Linked DNA regions of Diceros bicornis minor. The protein of the gene in region 2 binds, or shares a complex with, the protein of the main gene of each other region. Links are inferred from orthologs where the notes say so. Each region holds a gene or a part of one and is shown on either strand. Other genes may lie near its edges.

Evidence for each region. Proteins that work in one complex are often made in the same cells at the same time.
Region 1: RBM15 (region 2) and WTAP share a complex: the UniProt entries of both Homo sapiens proteins name them as parts of the WMM complex. The link is inferred for Diceros bicornis minor from reciprocal best matches to the Homo sapiens genes RBM15 and WTAP.
Region 3: RBM15 (region 2) and METTL3 share a complex: the UniProt entries of both Homo sapiens proteins name them as parts of the WMM complex. The link is inferred for Diceros bicornis minor from reciprocal best matches to the Homo sapiens genes RBM15 and METTL3.

Annotation. Positions count from the first base shown.
Region 1 is NC_080778.1:10,090,515-10,094,262, forward strand, and holds the start of WTAP (pre-mRNA-splicing regulator WTAP), read right to left. Parts: upstream 2,731-3,748; 5' UTR 2,587-2,730; intron 2,411-2,586; exon of another isoform or gene 2,299-2,410; intron 1-2,298. UniProt on the Homo sapiens protein: Associated component of the WMM complex, a complex that mediates N6-methyladenosine (m6A) methylation of RNAs, a modification that plays a role in the efficiency of mRNA splicing and RNA processing.
Region 2 is NC_080743.1:43,366,329-43,370,076, forward strand, and holds the start of RBM15 (RNA-binding protein 15), read left to right. Parts: upstream 1-856; 5' UTR 857-1,437; coding exon 1,438-3,748. UniProt on the Homo sapiens protein: RNA-binding protein that acts as a key regulator of N6-methyladenosine (m6A) methylation of RNAs, thereby regulating different processes, such as hematopoietic cell homeostasis, alternative splicing of mRNAs and X chromosome inactivation mediated by Xist RNA.
Region 3 is NC_080744.1:27,857,830-27,861,577, forward strand, and holds the start of METTL3 (N6-adenosine-methyltransferase catalytic subunit), read left to right. Parts: upstream 1-1,189; 5' UTR 1,190-1,321; coding exon 1,322-1,421; intron 1,422-3,748. UniProt on the Homo sapiens protein: The METTL3-METTL14 heterodimer forms a N6-methyltransferase complex that methylates adenosine residues at the N(6) position of some RNAs and regulates various processes such as the circadian clock, differentiation of embryonic and hematopoietic stem cells, cortical neurogenesis, response to DNA damage, differentiation of T-cells and primary miRNA processing.

The DNA.
Region 1 (3,748 bases), on a different chromosome or scaffold from region 2:
TCTCAAGTTTAGAACATCAGAACCATCATCTACTCTTGATGCCTTAACAATGAGAAACAGTTTATGATGGAGAATTCAGTTTTGGTTGGCTGGGTGCCTAGCACCCCAGATCCCAATACGCCCCTGGCTCTTAGCATTATGATCCTAAGAGGGGCAAGCACCAGCGAACACAACTTCAGTAAGAAAGCACGTACCTCGCCGAAACCAATCATAACTGAACACAAAAAGCTAATAATCTGACACTATGGTAGAAACGGTACCAGTTGGGAATTGGAAGACTACCTTTCCTGACTCTTGTACATCAGTCACGCGGTCTTAAGTCATTTAACTCTGGGCTGCAGTCTCCCAGTCAGCCAAAAGAGGATACCAATTTTGCCTGCCTCACACAGTGCAGTAAATCTCAATGCTTTAAGTGCCATAAAAATGCTATACAAACAAAGGACTTTTCAAATAAAATACTAACATCAACATAAAAGATAATTTTAACGTGCATTTAGGAAAGATTAAATTCCACCCAACATTTTCAAGGAAGAATATTTATTTATGGCACGGAGTTCTAGTCCGATGCATCTTAATACACAATAGCATATACTGTTACTGAAAAGCTTTTCGCTGATAAGCTTAGTAATAGAAAATATTTAGAGGCAGAAAAAGTTGGAGATAATTTGCAAAATAAAAACAAGAATAAAATGAAATACTACCTAGGTCTTGTTTGGCTACAGGTCCTGCCAATAGAAAATTTTTAAGAGCAAGAAAAAAATTTTTTTCAAGAGCCAGATAATATACAGTTCCATGAAAATGATCAAAACAGCTAAGTAAAGAATATTTTCAAGGGGATTCTATACTACAAACATACAAGACTGTAAGGGACTTTGAAAGCTGTAATGTACTGTACAAATATAATTATCACAACTCTCATCTCTACATGACAGGGCTGCTACAGATTTTCTACATCATATATACCAAGTCATTTCTAACAAATAATACACAAAAATATTTTGAGCAAGCTTGACTCAAAATTTAATCAGGAAATCTAGGTATTATGAAGTTCTATAAATTAGTGCCTGGCACACACTTTTATTATTACTTTCGTCCGTTGGGACTTAGAAATTTGGGTAGTTTGCCTAAGTTCCACCAATGAGAAGTGAAAATACCGATCACTTAGCTATAGCTATCTGCTAAGACAATGTAAGACCTAAAAAAAAACGTCTAGAAATACACTCAGCCAAACCCTTAAAATTTAACCTCATCCTCCTTATCACAAGCCACCTCGTGGACTGCAATTTCTTTCCCCAATTTGCCTAAGCACATGCTACTGAATAACGAGTAAATAAATAAAATTTAGCCATCTTGAAAAGATTTTCACACATGGTTTTTTCTGACGGGGTTTTAAACGTCTACAATATATTTATCTATTACAGAAAACTTAATTGTCAAAGTTTAAAAATCATAAAACGGGTAGAACTTGTGGTGATAAGACCTGTGACTTCCATTTACCTTCCTCAGCAATGGAATTAGCTAAATTCTAAGAAATGAAAAACCGTCAGACGGACAACTCACGACCGTAACACGCTCATGAAAATACTTCTCTACCTCGGGCAAAAGAATCGTTTTTTTACTTTATAAGCACTGTTTTTTAAGATTTTAACATAGTCCTTTGGGATCAAATATCCAACTGACTTCATCAAAACAAGAACTTGGACTTTTCCACTGTGTGTTCCCTACTGACTCATGAAACATGGTTTTAAAAAAATCAACTAGTAACAGACTTACAGGGATGCAAGATGAGACTTTAAAATCTCACGAATATCTCGAAGTAATTGAAAAAGAAATTCTTTTTTTACGCAGAACGCATACAACCATTTAAAAATGGAAGTCTCCGGGAGAACGCAGCTGCAGTCATACCCAACTGCGCGACGTGAAATCTGGGCAACTAGCGCCGCTTCCCTTCCCTGGCTCAACTCGTCAGCACCGCCAGTCCCCGGATCCGGCCGCGGGGGTGGGAGGGGGCGACACCGACGCGGGGACAGGACGCCACCGAGGGGGCGGCCTCCCGGGCTCGCCGGCCCGCGGGAGCGCTCACCTCGCCCCCGGCGACGCAGAACGGAGGTAAGACGGGCTCGGGGCGGCGGAAGCGTCCCCGCAAGAGGGCAGGCGGCGCGGCTAACAGGGGGCCAGGGGGCCGGGGGCCCGGGAGCCCCGAGCCGCCCTCGGCGCTCTGTCCACCCCTTCCCGAGCCGGGGCGGCCGCACCTCAGCCCTTGGGACCCGGAGGTCCTCGCGGCCGCTCCACACCTACCTCTCCGGACGGAGGCCGCGCCGGCGCCCCTCAGTCACATAGGCCGAGGCCGCGCTGCCCCTGCCGCCCAGGCCGCCCGACCGCGCTCCGCCGGCCCCCGCGCGCCTCCTCCCGCCGCAGCCCCGACAATCCCCTTTATTTGCGGGTCTCGCTGCCACAAAATGGCGCTCAGGGAGGAAGCGAGGCCCCGCCGCCCCACCCCCTTCCCGCTCCTCCCGCCGCCACGCCCCGCCCCACCCGCCCGCCGTCCGCGTCTCCGCCCCGCCATGTTCGCTCCGGCCCACTCACCGACGAGTCGCCTCCCAGAAGCGGCCGCACTACCCGGCCACCGCAGGGCCCCGCCGCGGGGAGGAAGGCGAAAGGACCGCGCCCGGCCGGCGCCTCGAGGCGCCCAGGGAGGAGCTACGTCTTGGTGGCACGCCCCGCGGCCTCCGGGGCGCCGCAAGCTCGGCAGGGCGGGGAGGGAAGCGGGCCGCCGGGAAGGCTGGGCCGCGAGGTCGGAGGTCAGCTGCGGGGCATCACGGGAAGGGCGGCGGGGGTCGCGATTGGCGGCGCGGAGGGGAAGCGCTCGCCGGGCCACCTGCGGCTGCGGCGCGGCCTCTGGCGGAGGAATCTGGGCGAAGGTGGCGTGTGATTGGCCTCTGCGGTGCAGCGTCCGTCTGTGATGCCTCCGCGCGCCGGTGGGCCAGGTGCAACCCCGGGAGCGGGGCCGTGGGCGGGGACTGGGTCGGTTTAGGCTTCGGTCAGCTTCCCTGTTTAAATTTTCATCTCTTAGAAACCAATGCTCCCTCTTCCGTCGTGAAGTGCAGCCTCCTGGCCGCTTGGTTCGTCCCTGCCTTGACATCTCGAGGCGAAACCGAGGAGCTATTGTCTGGCAGATGGAGGTTGTGCTAGGGGCACCTTGCTAACTCGGAAGCGAGGCGAAGGCGAACCCTGGGAGGTTTTAATGAACCCATTAAAATAAGTTTTGTAATTTGAATATACTGCCCTACACAAGACTTTGTGTCATCCAGACCATTGCATAAGAACGATGGAGTTACCTGGTAAACGTATAACAGCCTCTTTGCACTTGCTACACGGGTCAGGTAATTCTTTTGATTGGCCTGCCTTTATCCGGCTTTACCCAAACTGTTTATCCCCAAAGGAGGTGTCCCGGAATGAGATGATTTATGAGGATAAGATTAAAGTATGCTCCAGATGGTCAGAGGGATCATGGTGTATTCCCAGGAAATCAGATCAGTATGAAGAAAATATTTGCAGCTTACATCACAGGAACTCGTAAAAACTGAAAAGAAAAAGACCCAAATCCGAAGAGAAAAATGGGCAAGGACATGAAGAGACAATTCACAGAAAAGAATAGCAGTGGTCCTTAAAGGTAAAAGGCTGTTCATCCTCCTTACTATGGAAATGCCCATTGAAATTACAAGGCTCCAGAGAGACGGTGTTCATA
Region 2 (3,748 bases):
TTGGGTTTTTGAAGCGAGAATGATTGAGGGAGCCAAAAGAAGTGGATTTAGAGAGACAGCAAGGCGGCTGTGCCACTGGCTTCTAATACAGAATATAACCGGAGGTGCCGGCAAGGACAAGAAGCCACAGAAAAAAAAATGCATGGAGCGTAAATGTCACTCGATCATTTAACTGGGAGCGGCATTACGTATAAATAAACACACAGGTATACTATGGGACGACAAAATCCAAAATCCACTTGAATTCGCAACATAGATCAGGAAGTCCAGACACTTCCGCGGTGGCCCGCCCGTCCCGGCCACTCTCGCGGGCTGGGAGAACCTGGGAAAGTCGGTCACTCCCCTCGGTTACCCGGGGTACTTGGGCGGGAACCGGGAGCGCCAGAGACCTGGGCTCCGGAGCGAGCGCTGCGTGGCTTCCTACCCGCGGGACCCCGAGCCCGCGCCCAGCCTCTGCGCCGCCCCGGGGCGTTGGTGTGAACTGTGAACTCGCGGCCAGGCCTGCCCGTCGCCCCAGGGACCGCAGGCGGCGCCCTCGCGCGCAGGAGCGGGTGGGGCTTTTTCAGGCTGTTCACACTGGGGCGAGGTGGACTAACACGGTGTGTGCCGGATGCCCTGGGACGGCTGCCTGAGGGATTCCCGGGCCCCGACAGCCGGAGGCCCTGCCCAGCCAGCCCCTTGTCCTGCACAGGTAGGAAGTGGGGAGCCCAGTTTCGAACTCCGACGGCCGAAGCACAGCCAAGTACGCCGCGGGACCGAACAAATGTTTGAGAAGAGAACGCCGACAGCCCGAGCAGGCGGAACAGACTCGTGATCACCGTCTCGCGACGTCTAAGTGACGTCACACAGCAAGCGCGTGTTCTACCCTTTCACCTTCAGCCTCCTCAGTATATGGACCTACCCCTTTAAGCTAGTGATAGACAGTTATTTCAGCCTATCAACGTCCTCATCGATATCCAATCAGATTTAAACTTCTGTCAGCCGCCGGAGGAGTTGGAAGAAGGGGGTCGAAAGAGGGAGCGCTCTCTCTCTCGCGAGATCATTGTAAGCCGGCCTTTCAGAAAAAAACGCCAGAACAGATGGCCGGACTTCCCAAATAGTCAGTTAAAAGACGGGGTCACAAACCAATGAAAGGGATGAGGAAGTGGGATCACTGCTTTCACCGCGCAAGAAGTACCGTTACAGGGCAGACTTTTTGTCCAATCAACGCCTCCAGACTTTGGGTCAAGTGACCATAGAGTGCAAGGGGCGGAGCTACAGCCTGGCGCGAGGAACCGTTAAGATGGACAACGAGTAGGACCAATGAGGTACTCTGACTAGGGCGTTGGGAACCCAATAACAGTGGACGGGCGGGCGCCTTCCCCGAGCGCGGGGAGATGTGAAGACAGACAAACAGTTTTCCCAATGAGACTGTAGAGGAGAAGTGCTAATTGACCAATGAGGACGACGGGGCGGGAGCCTTTGCCGCGGCGGAGTCCAAGATGGCGGCGTGCGGTTCCGCTGTGTGAAACGAGCGCGGGGCGGCGGGTTCATCTGCTCCGCGGAGACGACCTCCGACGGCCCGCAACAATGAAGGGGAAGGAGCGCTCCCCAGTCAAGCCCAAACGCTCGCGTGGTGGCGAGGACTCGACTTCCCGCGGGGAGCGGAGCAAGAAGTTAGGGGGCTCTGGTGGCAGCAATGGGAGCAGCAGCGGAAAGACCGACAGCGGCGGTGGGTCGCGGCGCAGCCTTCATCTGGACAAGTCCAGCAGCCGAGGGGGCAGCCGCGAGTATGACACTGGTGGGGGCAGCTCCAGTAGCCGCTTGCACAGTTACAGCTCCCCAAGCACCAAAAATTCCTCGGGCGGGGGCGAGTCGCGCAGCAGCTCCCGGGGTGGAGGCGGGGAGTCACGTTCCTCTGGGGCCGCCTCCTCAGCTCCCGGCGGCGGGGACGGCGGGGAATACAAGACGCTGAAGATAAGCGAGTTGGGGTCCCAGCTGAGTGACGAAGCAGTGGAGGACGGACTGTTTCACGAGTTCAAACGCTTCGGTGATGTAAGTGTCAAAATCAGTCATCTCTCGGGTTCTAGCAGCGGGGATGAGCGAGTAGCCTTTGTGAACTTCCGGCGGCCAGAGGACGCGCGGGCGGCCAAGCATGCCAGAGGCCGCCTGGTGCTCTATGACCGGCCCCTGAAGATAGAAGCGGTGTATGTGAGCCGGCGCCGCAGCCGCTCCCCTTTAGACAAAGATGCTTATCCTCCGTCAGCCAGCGTGGTCGGGGCCTCTGTAGGTGGTCACCGGCACCCCCCTGGAGGAGGTGGTGGAGGCCAGAGATCACTTTCACCTGGTGGCGCAGCCTTGGGATACAGAGACTACCGGTTGCAGCAGTTGGCTCTTGGCCGCCTGCCCCCTCCACCTCCGCCACCATTGCCCCGAGAGCTAGAGCGGGAGCGAGACTACCCGTTCTATGAGAGAGTGCGTCCTGCATACAGTCTTGAGCCGAGGGTGGGAGCTGGAGCAGGTGCTGCTCCTTTCAGAGAAGTGGATGAGATCTCACCCGAGGATGATCAGCGAGCTAACCGGACGCTTTTCTTGGGCAACCTAGACATCACTGTGACAGAGAGTGATCTAAGAAGGGCTTTTGACCGCTTTGGAGTCATCACAGAAGTAGACATCAAAAGGCCTTCTCGGGGCCAGACCAGTACCTATGGCTTTCTCAAATTTGAGAACCTAGACATGTCTCATCGGGCCAAACTAGCAATGTCTGGCAAAATTATAATTCGGAATCCTATCAAAATTGGTTATGGTAAAGCTACACCCACCACCCGCCTCTGGGTGGGTGGCCTGGGACCTTGGGTGCCTCTTGCTGCCCTGGCACGAGAGTTTGACCGATTTGGCACCATCCGCACCATAGACTACCGCAAAGGTGATAGTTGGGCATATATCCAATATGAAAGCCTGGATGCAGCTCATGCTGCCTGGACCCATATGCGGGGCTTCCCACTCGGTGGCCCAGATCGCCGCCTTAGAGTAGACTTTGCAGACACAGAACATCGTTACCAGCAGCAGTATCTGCAGCCTCTGCCGTTAACTCATTATGAACTGGTAACAGATGCTTTTGGACATCGGGCACCTGACCCTTTGAGGGGTGCTCGGGATAGGACACCACCCTTACTATACAGAGATCGTGATAGAGACCTTTATCCTGATTCTGATTGGGTGCCACCCCCACCCCCAGTCCGTGAACGCAGCACTCGGACTGCAGCCACTGCTGTGCCTGCTTATGAGCCACTGGACAGCCTGGATCGCAGGCGGGATGGCTGGTCCTTGGACCGGGACAGAGGTGAGCGAGATCTACCCAGCAGCAGAGACCAGCCTAGGAAGCGAAGGCTGCCTGAGGAGAGTGGGGGGCGGCATCTGGATAGGTCCCCTGAGAGCGACCGTCCACGAAAACGTCACTGTGCTCCTTCTCCTGACCGCAGTCCAGAATTGAGCAGTAGCCGGGATCGCTACAACAGTGACAATGATCGATCTTCCCGTCTTCTCTTGGAAAGGGCCTCTCCAATCAGAGACAGACGAGGTAGTTTGGAGAAAAGCCAAGGTGACAAGCGAGACCGTAAAAACTCAGCATCAGCTGAACGGGATAGGAAGCACCGGACGACTGCTCCCACTGAAGGAAAAAGCCCTCTGAAAAAAGAAGACCGGTCTGATGGGAGTGCAGCAAGCACCAGCACTGCTTCATCGAAGCTGAAGTCTCCTTCCCAGAAAC
Region 3 (3,748 bases), on a different chromosome or scaffold from region 2:
CCAAATTCCCAAATATAATTCTCTATGTTCTAGCAAACTAACCTGGATTAGCAGGACATACAACTTGCTTTCCTAACTCTAGCATAGACCTTTGCTTTTATCATGTCATTGGCCTGGAATTCTCTCCTATAGCTTCAGTGAAGCTATAGCTGTCACTTCAAGCCTGAACCTTGATGCCACCTTCTTTCCAATGCCTTCCGTGGTCATCTTGGCTTGGAGTCCTCCTCCTCTTTGCAGTGACATTTATTTGTTAAAGCCTATGCTCACGCTGCCTTATGCTGTAAAGATGGTTTGATATTAATAAGCTGGGTCTTAGTTTCTTTACCAGAAGAGAAATGCTCTGAAAACCAGAGCCATGCCTTTTCAAGCTATTCTTTCTGACACAGTGTTTGGCATCATGTAGCCATTTGATAAATCAATGGTTCCCAAATACTTCCATTCAGAGAACCCCATTTAAAAAAATAAAAAACGAAAAACTTTTGTATTTAAAAGTTTATTACACATACAGAGAAGTGCACATACCAAAATGTTTGGCTCAATTAATTTTCATAAACAACATACTCATGCATCCAGCTCCCAGAGTAAGAAACGCAATGGAACCACAACCTCAGAAACCCCTCTAGTGCCTCCTTATGAGGACTTTATTTTAATGTATTACATATCATACTTGTAGATTTGGTGTAAGTAAGAAGAGTGAGAATATGTAGTTGTAGACCCCTTATAATATCTCTGCTCCATCATTCCTCGTTCTCTCTCAAAGAAGCACAGATACAAACGCACACACCCATAGACTGGAAACCAATGTAATAGCTATATCTTTGTAAATGAATGCATGGAAACATAAACCTACAACATCTTCAGTGGAAAAAGTATATTAGTATCAAACTGTCAAAAGGAATGAGTGATCCTTCGTTTCAAAAATCTGTACGACACGTGCTGCTCTACGTGTACGTTCACAACCCAGCTCAACTCACAGGACTCCCCTCTTGTATTTATAACATGGCCGCATGCGCGTCTACAAGCAACATGGCCGCTCTGCCAGGCACCAACATGGCAACCACAGCCTCACCGCACCCGGAAGCACGCGAGAGTTCCAATAAAAAATACATCCGCCATTCTGCCAACACCTAAGGCGGCTCTCTTTTGAGCTTCAAAGAGAGTGCGAAGCCGGAAATGACCTTTCCATCTAGCGCATCTCCCGGGATTTCTTTCCGGTTAGCCTTGGGTGTCCGCGTGAGAATTGGGTATTTCCTGGAGCTGGGACTGGGAGGTGCTAGTTCGCCGCGCTTGATTCGAGACGTGTCTGGGTCTGGAGACTAGGATGTCGGACACGTGGAGCTCTATCCAGGCCCACAAAAAGCAGCTGGATTCGCTGCGAGAGAGGCTGCAGCGGAGGCGGAAGCAGGACTCGGGGCACTTGGGTGAGGCGCGGGGCTGTCGGGGCCGATGCTTACCCGGGGAGGGCGGGAGGGAACCCTGGAGAAAAAGACAGCTCCTGAGTCGGTGCCGTTCCCCAAGCGGCCTTTTCTGTAACACCCCGTGCGTTGGTGCTCTTCTCCTCCCCCTCAGCAGCACAGACGCCGCGCCCTCCGGCAAGTAGTCGCGGTTCCTTCCCACCTCGGGACGTGGTACGCCCAGTTCTCTTTCCCGGGACGGGCGCCCCGGCCCCACCCCCGTCCTCCTTACTGACTCCTAAGTCTACCAGATCGTCGCCTTTACTAAGACCTCTCAGCTACCTACCCCTCGAAGCAGCAGGTCCCCTTTTTGTTGCTCCCATGGCGCTTTGTTCTTCCCTCGGTTATAGCTACTACTTTGTACTGGTCATTTCTTTGCGACTATGGACACCGTGAGAGCAAGGACTGAACCTTTATATCCACAGCGCCCAGGTCAGTGGCCCTCGGTGTTGCTAAATGAGTAGAGGAACTGGCATTGTCTTTAGGTATTTACATACCGAGCAGGAATCTGAAAATATTTGTTTTTTGCTTTTAAACTTTTTCTCCCCTCCCGTTGCCCGCTATGTCACAGTCAAAACTTGAAGGAACCTCAAAAGATTGTCAACTCCTGCCCACCCCCTGTCGCCAGTACAAGCCCTGAATTATTTAAGGCAAATCAACTATAAAGATCTGCAAGGATAGTGAATCCAAACCACCCTTGTGGTAGCTTGTTCCAATGTTTAGTAGTATACTCGAGTCCATCTCTAAATCTTGTGTTAATACATATGAGGCCCGTGTGCTCATATTGTGGCCCCTGGAACTAGAAGATGCCCTGGCAGGACTCTGACACCATAATAAATAAACATCTATTGAGTATCTACAGTGTGCATGAGTTCCAGTTAGACAAAAATAAGTAAGATATTGTCCCTGCCCTCGAGGAGTTTGAAATTTAGTTGAGGATAAAGGATTAATACTTAAAAAAAGTTAGAAATACAATATGATATATGTAAAATGCCAAATGAATGAGTCCACAATGAGTTCAGTGAAGGGAGAGGTAGCAAGAGTTGGTTTAGTCAGTGAAGGCATCGGGGAGGAGTTGGCACTTGGAATTTGGTCTTCAGGGCTGTATAGGACTTAGATAATTACAGAGAAGTTAAGAGGGCAGGGTGAGTAGAGGAAGAAGTGCAAGTCGTATGATCAGGGATTAATTAGCAGTCAAGCATTGGAGTAGTTACTGAATTACCCAAGAGGGAGAATTTTTTTCTTGATAATATAAACTTCAGTTCCTTTGATGTCTTGTTGTAGATTCAATTTTCTGGTTTTTTCTTATTCTTTGGTTTCCTCTGTTTCTAAGACTTTTATTTTATGCAAATCAGTTTTAGACAGAAAATATAACACAGTTACGTCTCTGTCATAGACAAATGACCCAGTTGCTTCTTGATTTATCACAGACTTCTGTTACTGGGCTTAAGTACCTCATCAACTTTTTCAAATACAGCATTCTGGAAGAAATGATTGAGTCATTTCTCCCTATATATGTGTGTTCCTGAAAAATTGCTTCTGCAAAAGCCTGCATTAAAAATAGCAGGGCTTATAGAAGAAATAGCTTTAGAAGAAGCCTGTTCAAAACCTCTGTAACTTTGTTACTAGAGCCCTTACAATATTCTACTAAAAATGCTAGCATAGTTAAATCTCCACTGGTGTTTCTACCTATAATGAAAGTCATTCCATCCCCACAGCCTATATACCCTGGGGCTCCTACTTCCTGCTTCCATCCAGCAGTCTTGTTTTTGTTTAACCAAGGGAAATGCCTTTGCAGTTTATTCATCTGAACTTGTAGCTTCCCAGATAGGTTAACATAGTGCAAAGTGTAGCACTTCTTGAAGCCACTAAACCAGACACTTCTATTTTTTAAAAGGCATTTCTGTAGGATTCTCACCTTTTTTCCTTAAGGTATTCATGTGTTTTTGAAGTTTTTTCTTTAACTGTGAGAAAATTTGCCCCTGACCACTTCAGAACATTAACATGATGAGAAAAAATCATGTATGAACCAGCAAGTTTTCCATGTTATTCTGACATTCCCTTATTTATTAATTGCATATGAGCTGATTTGCATTGAATAAATACATTGTAGGAAATCAGATTTTACTTGGATAATATTTGAGAGAAGTCAGAGACATCTGTTCTGTGGACTGTGTTGTAGAGGTCCTCCAGGTGGTCATCAGGTAAACAACAGTGGGATGTGGGCTATCCGGATGAGTTGCTCAATCAGCAGAAAAGAAGAGGGGCTAATGGTTCCATTCATTTATAACTAG